Linked DNA regions of Diceros bicornis minor. The protein of the gene in region 2 purifies or fractionates together with the protein of the main gene of each other region. This does not show direct contact. Links are inferred from orthologs where the notes say so. Each region holds a gene or a part of one and is shown on either strand. Other genes may lie near its edges.

The links.
Region 1: the proteins of UBR5 (region 2) and SOX2 purify together in Homo sapiens (affinity purification with western blotting; 3 studies listed by BioGRID and IntAct, with this or other methods). This does not show direct contact. The link is inferred for Diceros bicornis minor from reciprocal best matches to the Homo sapiens genes UBR5 and SOX2.

What each region holds. Positions count from the first base shown.
Region 1 is NC_080754.1:41,644,194-41,651,539, reverse strand, and holds SOX2 (transcription factor SOX-2), read left to right. Parts: upstream 1-5,118; 5' UTR 5,119-5,389; coding exon 5,390-6,352; 3' UTR 6,353-6,618; downstream 6,619-7,346. UniProt on the Homo sapiens protein: Transcription factor that forms a trimeric complex with OCT4 on DNA and controls the expression of a number of genes involved in embryonic development such as YES1, FGF4, UTF1 and ZFP206. Binds to the proximal enhancer region of NANOG.
Region 2 is NC_080760.1:20,706,956-20,714,410, reverse strand, and holds the start of UBR5 (E3 ubiquitin-protein ligase UBR5), read left to right. Parts: upstream 1-4,447; 5' UTR 4,448-4,477; coding exon 4,478-4,539; intron 4,540-7,455. UniProt on the Homo sapiens protein: E3 ubiquitin-protein ligase involved in different protein quality control pathways in the cytoplasm and nucleus. Mainly acts as a ubiquitin chain elongator that extends pre-ubiquitinated substrates.

The DNA.
Region 1 (7,346 bases), on a different chromosome or scaffold from region 2:
CAATAGGAAGAAAATGGAGGAAATGTAAATGAAAGAGTTTCTATCATTTTGAAAATCACATTATAAAAATTGAAGTAGCCTCTCTAGGATTTCTTGTGAGGGATCCTTCACAGTCTAAAGGAAATGAAGTTTGTGAATAGTACAATTCTATTCTAATTTTTGCTGTGACTTTCAGTGTCCTAACTTTTTCCAGTTTATTTCTTACGGATTATTTTTGGAAAATATGTGATGCTTTTTTAAGGAAAAGAAATCCTCTAATACCTTTCTTTACTTTCGCTTGTCTGTGTTTGTTTCATAAATCTTGGAGGATCAAGCTGTGATCATTCTGGAAGTCCTGTGGCAAGCTCCAATTTGGAATGATTGTGGATTTTTTGCGATTTAGAAGGGAGAAGGAAATACTTTTAAAATTGGCTTATGCCAGTCTCCTTACTTTGTAATTTTCAGTTTTCTTGTGTTAGGGGATAAAGATCAATAAAATTTCATCTCACCAGATTGCAACAACATTGTCCTAAACATTGGAATTTTCCTTTATTTTTGGCTTTTAAAATCAGGAACTTTTCTTGGGTTGCCGTACTTCTCTTTTTAGCTTTATTCGCCTCTTGCCACATTGCTGAATGACCTCGTTCACTGCAGTCTGATCCCTGCTCTGGTCACTCTCAGTGGAGATGGCTGGAAGGTTAGGATCCGGAGGAAACATGACAAAAAAGGGAGGAAAAAACCCTTCATTTGGCCAAATCTGCCTCCTAATATATTTAACCAGTTCCAGAATTAGAAAGCCTCTCTGTACATTTTCTTCTATTTTTCTCTCTTTTTTTTTCCCTTACGTAATGAAATTAAAACTTTTGGAGCCCACAGTTGACATTTTTCAGAAAATTGAGTTATCAAGGCAGTAATTATTTCACGGGGAGATAAAACTCTCATAGCCCTAACTGTCAAATAGGGCCCTTTTCAGATTTTAATTACAAAATAAAATTAGTCTGCTCTTCCTCGGAATGGTTTGTGAGTGGTTAAACAGAGCTTTCCCCCCAATACTGGTGGTCGTCAAACTCTGCTAATTAGCAATGCTGAGAAATTCCAGTTAACAAGGACATTCTCCAAGACTCTGCAGGTTCCCTGCCGTTTGCCTTCATTTCCATAAGAAGATTAAGAGAGGAGGGGAACACACTCAAATGCAGATGCAGAAAAGAAGCGTTTTTTAACAAGCATCATAATAGTAAGATGCTTGGCTAGTTCTCACCTAATTACTGCAAGTTAAACCTCTATTTGCCACTAAGAAGAAAAAATAAGTCTACAGTCCCCTATCTCCACAAAATTGTTAGTTGGCTTCAGATATAGTACTTGAGGAGGGATGAGGGGAGTTGAGGAGAGAAATATCAATGCAAGAGATTTGTAAATAAAATTGAGTTCCACTTAATCAGTTAAGGATTTGGGGCTGGGGCCTATAGTAGAACAAAATCAAATCAGAATATCCCAGGGGTTATGCATTTTTGTTCATAATTTCTAATCTTGCTCTAAAAGTGTGCAGCTTTTTGCTGTGTATGGAAGGGAAATGTTACCCTCTCTTTAGATTAAGCACTTTCAATTTTCATAAATGGTGCCAATGGCAACATTTTAAATTCTCAGAGGATGAAGCACCCTCTTCCGAGTCTTATTTTGATTCCCTGGGAGTCAATGGCATATTGTTATTAGTCCTGTAGCCGTCTGTTATAAACCTAAAACAGTGCTGCTTCTGTCATCTATTATGATTGTTGTAGTTATTATTATATTTAGGGGCCAGTGATGGTGCTGGATTGAAATAGAGTGGCCGGTGATCTGATTTTTTTAATGCATATGTTCTAAAAAGTCTAATGAGAAAATTGTTTCTGCTATCACCATCTTCTTTAATCTTATTTTCATAGCACATTATTATGCATAAACGCCAGCCACAGTTAGTTTATTGCCTTGATAAGTACAGCAGGCTTAATTAAAATAAAGCTGTAAATAAATGCAACCAATGATAACACAATTGCAATGTATTTCCATAGCTTATTTATATGATAAAAGCAATTAACAAAAAGACCTAGCCAGCCCCTTTAACCTCTTAAATGCATTATTATAGAGTTCAGGCACAAACACATGCATCTGAGAATGTATAAAAGCTTTTATACATCATCCCAAGGAAAAATTTGTGCCTCTTACTACTTACTACCCCTTGAGAGACAGAGAGATTAAAAATATTTGCTTCTATAACCATCCGTTATTAATACTTATTTCAATTCATATACACCACCATTATCCACACCAACTCCCTGATTTTTTTCTTCAAACTTAATTATCCATAAGCTTTTTTTTTAGTTTTCAGAATAATGCAGTTAGGCGCAGACCAATGTATACGCAATCATAAAGTGAATGCTTGGTCTGCCCTTCGTGGCGTCTGGACAATCATAATTCATTCATATGTTGAATCTCATAATTTGTGCCTATTTTTTTCCCATGGTTTAACCTCCCACTTATCTAGAGGTTATATGTACATTTCTAAGTTAAGCAAATTAAATCTAATTCTTACGATTGATTCCATAGCTTATATGATATGTTAACTTTTCTTTTGTTTAGATTACGTGTAATTAGTTTGATCTTCCTCCCATCCCCCTCATTTTTTTTTCTGTAATTATTTCCAAACACCTTCTTTTAAAGGTAAAAGCAATAGTCTTGGAAAAGCGAATCCACCAGTAGGGGGCGCACCAGCCACATCTCTGAAACCATACGCGCTGAAAAGCCGGTGGCCGCCTTCTCTTCTCCAGATCCTCTCAACCTTTTCTCTTTCCTAATCTCCAGGTCCGTGTTTAGCTTAATATTACACCTCGCATAAACAGAAGACATTGCTTTCTTTTGAAGAGTGCCATATATTGATGCTTTTCGAGAAAGCCAGTCTCATACTTCCCGCGTTCCTAAGAACTAAAACAAACCATAACTTAATAGAAAAAAGAGAACCTGCAGGGGGAGGGAAGGTTGATTGGTAATAATTTATTACGACAAGTCTGTAGAATTCCTTTTACAACTTTTCTGGGTTTCCAGGGAGCACAGTTATCTTGAGTTGGACAAGAACAGAAAAGCCTGAGAGGGCAGGGATTGGAGAAGTTGGACTGGGGGCCGGGGTAGGGGAGAGGGCAGTTATGGGAAGAAGGTTAGTAAGGAACAAAACAATGCACAGTTTTGTAAAGATAATAAATGGAACGTGGCCGACAGATACTATTCAGTACATTTTCTTAGGGTGAGTAAGGGTAGATCAGGGGAGGAGGGGGCGGAGAGAGTGTTACAGAAGAAAGAAAATAAGTAACCCTGATGGTTTAAGCCCTTTATAAAAAAGAAATGGCATCAAGGGTTTTTTCTCCACAACCCCCCCCCTCCCCTTTGTAGTCAAGTGCATTTTAGCCACAAAGATCCCAACAAGAGAGTGGAAGGAAACTTAGACGGGTCTTTGTTTGACTCCGTGTAGCGACAACAAGAGAAACAAAACTACCTATTTGTAACGGACGTGCTGCCATTGCTCTCCGCATTGAGCGCCTACCTATTGAAATCTTTACGTTGGGACAATGGGAGAGCGGCTAAAATTACCCTCTTGGGTCCTGGGCGGGCAGGATTCCTGAGCCCTTACCCCCGCCCCCATCCCATCCTCCTCCAGCCCTAGCCTTGCTGGGCTCCCCCGTCCCCAGTCCCGGCCGCCCTCCTCTTGCCTGCACTGCCTGCACCTGTGCCTGGCGAGCACCACCCCTGCCCCCAAGGCCTAGGGCCCCCTCGGAGCGCAGCCCCAACCCGAGCGGCCCCGGCCAGGCGGCCACCACGGGAGAAGTCACTGGAGGAAATGCCAGGGCTGGTTCTGCTGGAGTCCTGGGAACTCTGCGTGGGAGGGAGTTTGTGAGTGCGGCCCAAGCCACCTCCACACAGTGCGGTGGGATGCCAGGAAGTTGAGATTCCCCTCCCCCATAGCCCGCACTTCTGAGCGCCCTTCTGTGGATCTTTCTTCGCCCAGCCCCCTTTTGCAACCCGCACAAGTGAAATCCCTCCTTGAGGGAGGCTCAGGAGGAGAATGGGGAGAGGACGAGAACACGAGCATCCCCTTTGCACCGACTGAATGGAGAAAGACTGGTGGGCGATGTGGCTGGGGGTAAGGGGACAGGCTGCGGGTCCCCGCGCCAGAGAGCCGGGCCGGGCGGCAGCTCACCCAGGCCCGGCCTGGCCTCGGCTCTCGAGTCGGCCGCAGAGGCCGAGCAGGATTTATTTTAACAGCAGAGCAAACTACGTGGAAGCAGGGAGCGTTCTGAGGACAGAGCTTTCCGTGTCCTAACTTCTCGTCGGGGCAGAGTGAGAAGGGGCCGAGCGAGGGCCGGGCCCCGCGGAGGAAGAGGGGCGAGGGCCAGAGCGGGGTGAGGGAGAAGCAGCCGAGGGCCGGCGTGGGGGCAGCGTGCGGAGGAGCGGGAGAACAATGACACACCAACTCCAGCGCGGCCCGTTTCCTGAAATACTAGTAGGACAGTCGCCCAGAACCACCCACTCGGCCCTGCCCTGCCCCCACCCCGTAGCTGCTTCTCGCGCCCCTTCCTCATTTCAGCAGCCCGCACCAGAAAGTAAATCCACATTAAGTTTAAGGAAGAAAAAAATCGTAGTCTTAGTGCTGTTTACCCACTTCCTTCGAAAAGGCGTGTGGTGTGACCTGTTGCTGCGAGAGGGGATACAAAGGTTTCTCAGTGGCTGGCAGGCTGGCTGTGGGAGCCGCCTCCCCCTCCCCTCCCCTCCCCTCCTCCCCGCCTCCCCCTCCCCGCGTCCCCCGCCTCCCCCGCGCGCCCGGCGGCGCGGCAGGCCCCGCCCCCTTTCATGCAAAACCCGGCGGCGAGGCCGGGCTCGAGTGGAGGAGCCGCCGCGCGCTGATTGGTCGCCGGAAACCCATTTATTCCCTGACAGCCCCCGTCACATGGATGGTTGTCTATTAACTTGTTCAAAAAAGTATCAGGAGTTGTCAAGGCAGAGAAGAGAGTGTTTGCAAAAGGGGGAAAGTAGTTTGCTGCCTCTTTAAGACTAGGACTGAGAGAAAGAAGAGGAGAGAGAAAGAAAGGGAGAGAAGTTTGAGCCCCAGGCTTAAGCCTTTCCAAAAAATAATAATAACAATCATCGGCGGCGGCGGGATCGGCCAGAAGAGGAGGAAGCGCTTTTTTTGATCCTGATTCCAGTTTGCCTCTCTCTCTCTTTTCTTCCCCCAAACTATTCTTCGTCTGATTTTCCTCGCGGAGCCCTGCGCTCCCGACACCCCCGCCCGCCTCCCCTCCTCCGCTCCCCCCGCCCGCGGGCCCCCCAAAGTCCCGGCCGGGCCGAGGGTCGGCGGCCGCCGGCGGGCCGGGCCGCGCACAGCGCCCGCATGTACAACATGATGGAGACGGAGCTCAAGCCGCCGGGCCCGCAGCAAACTTCGGGGGGCGGCGGCGGCGGCGGCGGCAACTCCACCGCGGCGGCGGCGGGCGGCAACCAGAAGAACAGCCCGGACCGCGTCAAGCGGCCCATGAACGCCTTCATGGTGTGGTCCCGCGGGCAGCGGCGCAAGATGGCCCAAGAGAACCCCAAGATGCACAACTCGGAGATCAGCAAGCGCCTGGGCGCCGAGTGGAAACTTTTGTCGGAGACGGAGAAGCGGCCGTTCATCGACGAGGCCAAGCGGCTGCGAGCGCTGCACATGAAGGAGCACCCGGATTATAAATACCGGCCCCGGCGGAAAACCAAGACGCTCATGAAGAAGGATAAGTACACGCTGCCTGGCGGGCTGCTGGCCCCCGGCGGCAACAGCATGGCGAGCGGGGTCGGGGTGGGCGCCGGCCTCGGCGCGGGCGTGAACCAGCGCATGGACAGCTACGCGCACATGAACGGCTGGAGCAACGGCAGCTACAGCATGATGCAGGACCAGCTGGGCTACCCGCAGCACCCGGGCCTCAACGCGCACGGCGCCGCGCAGATGCAGCCCATGCACCGCTACGACGTGAGCGCCCTGCAGTACAACTCCATGACCAGCTCGCAGACCTACATGAACGGCTCGCCCACTTACAGCATGTCCTACTCGCAGCAGGGCACCCCGGGCATGGCGCTCGGCTCCATGGGCTCGGTGGTCAAGTCCGAGGCCAGCTCCAGCCCCCCCGTGGTTACCTCTTCCTCCCACTCCAGGGCGCCCTGCCAGGCCGGGGACCTCCGGGACATGATCAGCATGTACCTCCCCGGCGCCGAGGTGCCGGAGCCCGCCGCCCCCAGCAGACTTCACATGTCCCAGCACTACCAGAGCGGCCCGGTGCCCGGCACGGCCATTAACGGCACACTGCCCCTCTCGCACATGTGAGGGCCGGACAGTGAACTGGAGGTGGGGGAGAAATTTTCAAAGAAAAACGAGGGAAATAGGAGGAGAGTAAGAAACAGCATGGAGAAAAACCCGGTACGCTAAAAAAAAAAAAAAAAAAAGTCATCACCCACAGCAAATGACAGCTGCAACAGAGAACACCAATCCCATCCACGCTCACGCAAAAACCGCGATGCCGACAAGAAAACTTTTATGAGAGATCCTGGACTTCTTTTTGGGGGACTATTTTTGTACAGAGAAAACCGGGGGGGTGGGGTGGGGAGGGCGAGGGAATGGACCTTGTATAGATCTGGAGGAAAGAAAGCTACGCAAAACTTTTTAAAAGTTCTAGTGATACGGTAGGAGCTTTGCAGAAAGTTTGCAAAAGTCTTTACCAATAATATTTAGAGCTAGTCTCCAAGCGACGAAAAAAATGTTTTAATATTTGCAAGCAACTTTTGTACAGTATTTATCGAGATAAACATGGCAATCAAAATGTCCATTGTTTATAAGCTGAGAATTTGCCAATATTTTTCAAGGAGAGGCTTCTTGCTGAATTTTGATTCTGCAGCTGAAATTTAGGACAGTTGCAAACGTGGAAAGAAGAAAATTATTCAGATTTGGACATTTTAATTGATTAAAAATTGTACAAAAGGAAAAAATTAGAATAAGCACTGGCAAAACCATCTCCGTGGTCTTCTTTAAAGGGGCAAAAGTTTTAGATTGTACTAAATTTTTTTTAACTTACTGTTAAAAGCAAAAATGGCCTGCAGGTTGACACAATTGGTAATTTATAATAGCTTTTGTTTCCCAACTTTCCATTTTGTTCAGATAAAAAAACAACATGAAATTACTGTGTTTGAAATATTTTCTTATGGTTTGTAATATTTCTGTAAATTTATTGTGATATTTTAAGGTTTTCCCCCTTTTATTTTCCGTAGTTGTATTTTAAAGATTCGGCTCTGTATTATTTGAATCAGTCTGCCGAGAATCCATG
Region 2 (7,455 bases):
CCCACCAGAGTGGTCCATTTGTTACAACTGATTAACCTACATTGCTACATCATTATCATCCAGAGTTCATAGTTCACATTAGGGTTCATTCCTGGTATTGTATATTCTATGGGTTTGGACAAATTTATAATGACATTTATGCACCATTATAGTATTATACAGACTATTTTCACTGCCCTAAAAATCCTCTGTGCTCTGCCTATTCATCCTTCTCTCTCTTTTTACTGTCTCCATAGTTTTGCCTTTTCCAGAACGTCATATAGCTGGAATCATAGAGTATGTAGACTTTCAGATTGGCTTCTTTCACTTAGTAATATGCATTTAAGATTCCTCCACATTTTTTCATGGTTTGATAGCTCATTTCTTTTAGTGCTGAATGATATTCCATTGTGTGGATGAACCACAGTTTATTTATGCATTCACCTACTGAAGGACATCTTGGTTGCATCCAAGTTTTGGCAATTATGAATAAAGCTGCTATAAACATCTCTGTGCAGGTCATAAGTTTTCAAGTCCTTTGGGTAAATACCAAGAAGCATGATTGCTGGATCATATGTTAAGAGTATGTTTTGTTTTGTAAGAAACCACCAAACTTCTTCTCAAGTGGCTGCACCATTTTGCATTCCCACCAACAATGGATGAGACTTCTTGTCGCTCTACATCCTTGCGAGCATTTGGTGTTGTTAGTGTCTTGGATTTTTAAGCCCCATTGTTTTAGTCAACCAACATTCATATACCTACGTATTTTCCCTTTTCATTCGGCTTCTTCCTTTTATGCCTTTCTGAACTTACACTGGGGAATTATTTTCCTTTTGCCTGAAAAATACCCTTTAGTATGGGGTGCCTGCTAAGAATGTCTCACATTTCTTTTTCTTTTTGTGAATGTCTTTATTTTTCTTTCATTCTTGAGGCTATTCTTTAGCTGTAGAAATGTGCTTTGCCCACAAGTGAGGAAAGCTTGATGTGTCAGGGAGTTAACAACCCAAGGGATGGGTTGATGGATAAATACCTCCAGCTTGCTTGCTCCCCGCTCAGTGGCAATAACTCTGAGGTGTGTCCCACACAGTCTCTCAGATGGTCCCCAGTGGGATTGAATTCCAGTTGCCCACAGTGGTAAAACATTCTTCAGCCCATCTTTTATTGGGTTTTCTCCCTTCCCTGTCTCATTTCTCCATCCCCACACAGTGCTTCCTGCAATCACTTCCTAAATAAACTATTTATAGCCAAATCCTTGTTTCCAGGTCTGTTTTGGGGGAAACCAAATCTAAAGACATGACCTTTTTCAGGGGTGCAGTCCTTCAGGGCTCAGCACAAAGTAAGAGAGGTCATTAGCACTCCCCACTGCATTGGGGGAGCTTGGACATCAATCCCTGTTGTCTTAGCCCTCAGTGCTTGTCAGAAGAACTGCTTAGCCTCTTGGCTTCTCCCTCTTTCTGGAATTGGCGCTTATCCCAGCGGAAAAAGTGGCTCCAAACACAAACCAGGACTCACTTCTTTGGGTCTTATTCATCCTTTGGATCCTGGTTTGGTAATTCATCATTTTGTTAACATTCTTCTGCTTTTAAGCAGACTTAAAGAAATATTTTGTCTAACATTTCTAGCTGTTCTCAAAGGGAGAATTAGTCCAAATTATTAGAAAAGAGGCCCCTCAGCCATCTTTTCTAGGCGAGTATTCCACTTTGACTCTTCAAACAGCTTCTGCTTGAACCCTGCTTATCACCATTCCCTACTTGTATTCCCCCCTCCTCCATCCATGTGATGGGCTTGCACAACTCCATGCCTTTATTCTTGTTTTTCCTTGTTCAAAGTGTGACCCACCAAAGTTTTGGGGCCCTGGGAGAGGAAAATTCTCCCTAACACGCCAGCCTGGGACAACAAAAAGGTTGCAATGCCAAGATGGTTGTCAGTCAAAAACCAACTGGGCAGTTTGAATGGGCTGCCTGGAGGCAGGGGACCAGCCTTCAACCAGGAGGGAAAGTCTCTGTTCCAGGAAACTAGGAGTGGGTAAATCAAGTTGGAAGCAGGGTGGAAGCATAATGAAAAGATGAAGAAAGACAGATTTGGAAGAAAGAGTAATGAAGCAAGTATGGGTATGGTGTGGAGTTTGTTTAGGGGCAAATCTAAAAATGACTAGGTTTAAGCCAGATACTCTATTTGCCCAGGACATTCTTGAAAGCTCAGCTTAAATGACTTTTCTTAATTCTCTTGGCTGCAATCGCTTCCTCCTTTAACTTCCATGGCACTCTTATTGCATTTATCATATCACATTTTTCCTATTGGCTTTGAACAGTCTGTTCCTTCTAAATTATTAACTAGATGGCAGCTGTGCTATAGTGGAAAGAGCAATGGAATCAGAGTTAGATGACCTGGGTTTAAGTCTCAGCTTCAGCACTTACCTAAGGTGTCGAGCCTCAGTATCCTCATCCTCATAATGGGGATGATATTATTTACCCCATAGTGTGATTTGAGCATTAAAAGACATGTGTATAAAGTGTTACATAGTGAGCACTTGACAAATAAAAACTTCCATTTTCTGAGCCTACTAAGTGTTATGAAGTGCTCCAGGTGCTTGGCATACATTATCTTATGTAGACTTCACCACAACCCTATGTAGATCTACTACTATGAAATATCTTACAATTGAGAAAAGACACTACGATAGGTTAAATAATTTAATCAAGGTCACAAAGCAAAGCAGCAGGAACAGGACACAAACCCAGGTCTGTATGGCTCTAAAACTAGCAGTGTCCATTGATCTACCCTGCTTCCCCATGGCTGGCGTGGACTTCTAATAAATAGCGGCCTTGAAATCACTTTTTAGTCTAAACTAATCTGGGCCAATTTTGGAGCTGGTGACCTACAAAAGTGTTCCGTTATCTGTCTCAAGGGGTACCTACTCTATCCTGATTTATAAATAAATTTTCATATATTTTGCTCAAAGGAACGTCCTAAGCAAAAGTTTGTGTGTATATAATGCATTAACAGAAGAAAAGTGGTACTTAACGTTAAGACCGTTTCACAGGACCCCCGATTTAACGAACATCCACACAGGCTGGAGAAGAAGCTTCATGTTTTCACTTTTTGTCTTGAAAGAAGTACTTGATTTTTTGAAGGAGTCATAGAAGCCTTTGAGAAAAAAGCTAGGAGCTGGTTCCCTAGAAAAAAGCAGATAGATCCATTCAAGAATTTGCCTTTACGATCCCACTGATCCTAAGTTGAAGAACGCCTTTGTAAAAGTGATATATCATCTTTCTTTTAAAAGTAGTAAAAACAAAAAATCATGAATCATTTACATCAGGAAATCGGTGGAAATTTCCACATTTTGTCTTTGTGCCGGTATGTGATGGTGGTGGTGGAGAAATCGGGGAGACTAGGGTGATCAAGAAGTTGCTGCAAAGTCAGCTTTATGATCCTACGATAGGACTTTCTGGAAAGGTCCTTATATAACTACCTTACTTCTCCAATAAAAGGCTGTGTATTTCTTGCCCTTTCACCGATTTTACACTGCCACTTTAAATATAATTGCGGATCAAGGACGAGAAACAACAACAAAAAACCCCTAAGGGTCTGCAAAATAATTAGGGCTGCCTCAGGGAAATCAGAGAGAGGACGGACGCGGGAGCCCCTTTTGCTTCCCACTTCCCCGGGGACACACTCTCAGCCTCCTCCCGGACTCCCTCCCCGCCGGCGGGCTCGCCCCTGCGCCTCCTCCTTCCCTAACACGTGCTCTCCGGAACACTCACTCGGGAGACATCCCACCTCCCGGGGGCCGGGCTCGGGGGCCGAGCGGACCAATCCGCGCGCGTCTTACAGCGTCGTGGCCCGACAACGTTGAGCCGCCCAATCGGAAGGGCCTTACCGCCCGTTTCCCGGAGCCCCGCCCCCTCGCAGCCGAGCCCCCGCCCGCCGGTCTCCTCCCTCCTCCTCCTCCTCCTCCTCCTCCTCCTCCCGTTCGCCCCTCCCCCGCCGCTCGGGAGCGGAGCCTGCGAGACGGAGAAACTGGGGCAGAAGTGAAGATGGCGGCGGCGGTGCTGGCGGCGGCGGCGGCGGCTTCTCGCCAGTGACGCGCGGTGCGGGCTCATCTCTCCCCACCTCCCTAGTCCGGACCCCGTCCGCCGCCGGGACCACACCGTCCCCGCAGCCCGCCCCTCTCCGCCCTCCCAGTCGCCCCCTCTCCCGACGCCCGGCTGCCGCTGGCGGCGGCGCGCCCCGTGTCCCGGCCGCCGGCCTTGCACTCCTGCGCGCTGTCGCCGGGGGAGCGGGTGGCGTGTTGATCCGCCCGCCCCGCCGGACCGCGGGGCCGCGGACACACGCCCGGCAGGGAGGTGGCGGCGGCCCCTGCGCATTTGCTTCCCTCCATTTGGGGACTGGGAGGCGGCGGCGGCGGCTGTGGGTTTTGGGAGGGGAAGGGGGTTTGGGGGGGGCGGGCGAGAGCGGGAGGGGGCCGTCCTCGAGGAGAGGACGAGAAGGAAGCACCATGACGTCCATCCATTTCGTGGTTCACCCGCTGCCGGGCACCGAGGACCAGCTCAATGACAGGTAATGGGGCCGGCGGGCGGGCGGGCGGGGGGAGGGGCGCCTCCCCGCCCTCCCCTCCCCCACGGGGCCGCGCCGGGGCAGGCGCCCGTGTTTACGCGCCGGCCGGCCGGCCGGGGGGTCCACATTGCCCCTGGCTAGGCCCCTTCCGGGGCAAACTTCTGGTCCTGGGGGCCCGGGGCCGCGGGGGGAGCGCGGTGTAGACGGGAAAGCGCGCTGCAACCTCCCCCCCCCCCCGTCCCCCTCCGAGGAGCCGCGTTGAACTCCGCGGAGATGGGGGGGGATCCGGCTCCCGGGGGGGCGGGCTGTAATTACCGCCCGGCCCAGGCCCGAGGAATCCATATTAGTCAAAGTTGAATTGAGACAGACAATGCGGATGGGGGATGGTGGAGGTAAAAAGAGAGGGAAGAGGAGAAGCGGGGCGAGGGGCCCTGGGGTAGGCTCGGCTCGCCCGGGCCCCCGGGAGCTGTGTCCGGTCGGGTGGTCTGGACCAGCCAAGCCTGGAGATCCCGGGGGAGGGGGGAGGCTGATTCCCGGCAGATCGCGGTGGGGGTGGGGGGAGGGAGGAAGCGCCATGATTATTGTTATTATTATTAAATTTGAGCCCCTGCAGTGAGGTTTGCCAGCCTGGGGAGGGGTTGAATTCAGGCGGGGGTGGGTAAGTGGATTGGATTCCCTTTGCTCTCCTTCTTCCGAAACGGTGCTGGCAGCTCCTGCTCCCAGCCCCTGTGGTGCGAGCTTTTTTGTTTCCTTTTTTATTCTAATGATAGTGTTTTCCTGAGTTGTAATTTGACAGCTGAAAACCGTGCGTGGAGTCAAAGGAAAACTCTTACGTTTGCAGTTCGCAGTGCTGCCTTTCTTAACGCGCTGTAAATTTCTGCGATGGGTTTTGCTATGGGCGGAGGAGGAATTAAGATTTTTTTTTTTGTCTTTCATAAGAGGGCTGTTTTGGCCGTGGATTTCTCCCCTTCCCTCCTCCACCGTTCCCTGCCGGTTTAGGATATTGAATTGGCAGGGCCGCATGCTCACAGGGAACGGAGATAAAGCAGGAAAAGTTCCTTCACTGTGGCAAAACAGAGACTCCGAGGAGGTTGAGGGAGGCCTCCATTAAAGCAAGTCTTAGAATCTAGGACTCAGATCTAATGATGGGCTAAATGTTTATAGGGTTAGAAAGGGGGGCATTTTAAGCCCACGTCTCTCCCAATACTTCGCTGCTCTCTATTTCTTTTGAGTATAGAAGGCCACCTGGACCCAAGTTCAGAAGTTAGCTATTTTTGCTAAGTGACCGGGTGACATAAATTGCATGACGCCCTGTTTGTCATGCGCTTCCCGGAGGGAGAAAGAGGCCTAACTTGCTGCTAAGATATTGGCCTCTGTCCCCAAGAATCTAACCGCCTCAGGTAGGGCGGACAGCTTTTCAATCTGAAAGCTGGAGGCTTGGTTTCTGGCACTGGGTTCGGATTTGTCTAATCTTTGCTGTAGCCATATTGTATTTAACATGTTTGCGAAACTTTTGGAATAGTTTCTGAAAATATTAAGTATTTGGAGTTGTTACATAGTTCCTTTAAATACTGAAATAAGTTTTTAAGTCATTTATTTTAACATTTTGTTATGTGATCCTTACTCTGATTTTATTTCGTTAGAGATCTTTTTAAAGACTGTTTTGTAAATTTTAGAACCAGGCTAGTAGTGAGGACAGCTCTCCTGTCATTGGTAGAACCAAGTTGGTAGTGCTTGTAATGTAACTTGTAACTGAGAAAATTGCACAGGGAGGAGAGAAGTAGGGCATGTTTTCTATATTAGTCCTAACTTTATACACCAAGAATCCTGACTATGCAATGCCAAAACCTATTTTGCAGTTGTGTTGGGCACTTTGATTCATTTTTGAGCCTGCCTTTTGCTTTAGCTAGTCTGAGAAATTTACAAGTAATGTATCTTTTTTTAAGCTACCTTTTCTTTTTTGCACTCCTAGTGTAAACAAGTAATCAGCTTTGTTTCTGATTTCTGTAGTGTCAGTATACAATATTAAGAATATTTAGATCATCTTGAGTTTTCATTTCATGAAGTAAAGAAAAGACAAGTTGATTTGATTCAGATCATAAAATGTGCACCTCAAAGTGGCAAATATTTGAAAAAATAGGAGAAGGCTCTAGGTAAAATTCTAGAGATCTATTATTGTATCTAGTAAAAATGGCTGGTCTGTTGACATTTATGAAGGCAGCATCTGAGACTGCCATACACCCTAAGTTTTGAAGTAGTTGACTTGTTAGTGGAGCTGTTCTGTGTCTCTCCTCCAAAAGGAAAGATCATCTTTCCATACCTACTTGCAAAGTAATAGGATCAACTTATGTTGCATTGCTTGAGAAAAATCAGTTTCCAAAAGAGATTGATTTTCTGGAAACTTTTAACTAACTAGAACAAGAAGCCCAGAATATTTTTGCCTTCAGATAAAACCTTTACCAAGGTTTAGTAAGTTTTGGTAATAGAAAAGAGTTCTCTACTATAGCTTGATTTTTGTGTGATCTATGATTGTCACAAATGAAATGATAAATGATAGTTTTGGATGAAAAAGACTAAGTAGGTAGACTTTATTCTATACATGAAAAGCAGTGAGATTGGACAGGCAGTATGGTACTGCAAATAAATTGCTCAGTTAAAACTTAGGGCCTCAAAACATCAGTATTTTCTTCTGCAAATGTTTTCTTTCTTTAAATAGCCACATCCTGTTAAAAGTCAAATATTTTGTTCAGTGAAATATTGTGATGTCTCAAACATCCAAAATGTACTCAGCATTAAAAAAAAGTATCTGATATTTTTCTCTTACTTTGTGTTTTCATACTGGCTAATACTTGATAGTCTTTGTATATTGGGTTAAAATCTTCAGTTATTGGCCTTGGGAGACCAAATAATGAATAGAGT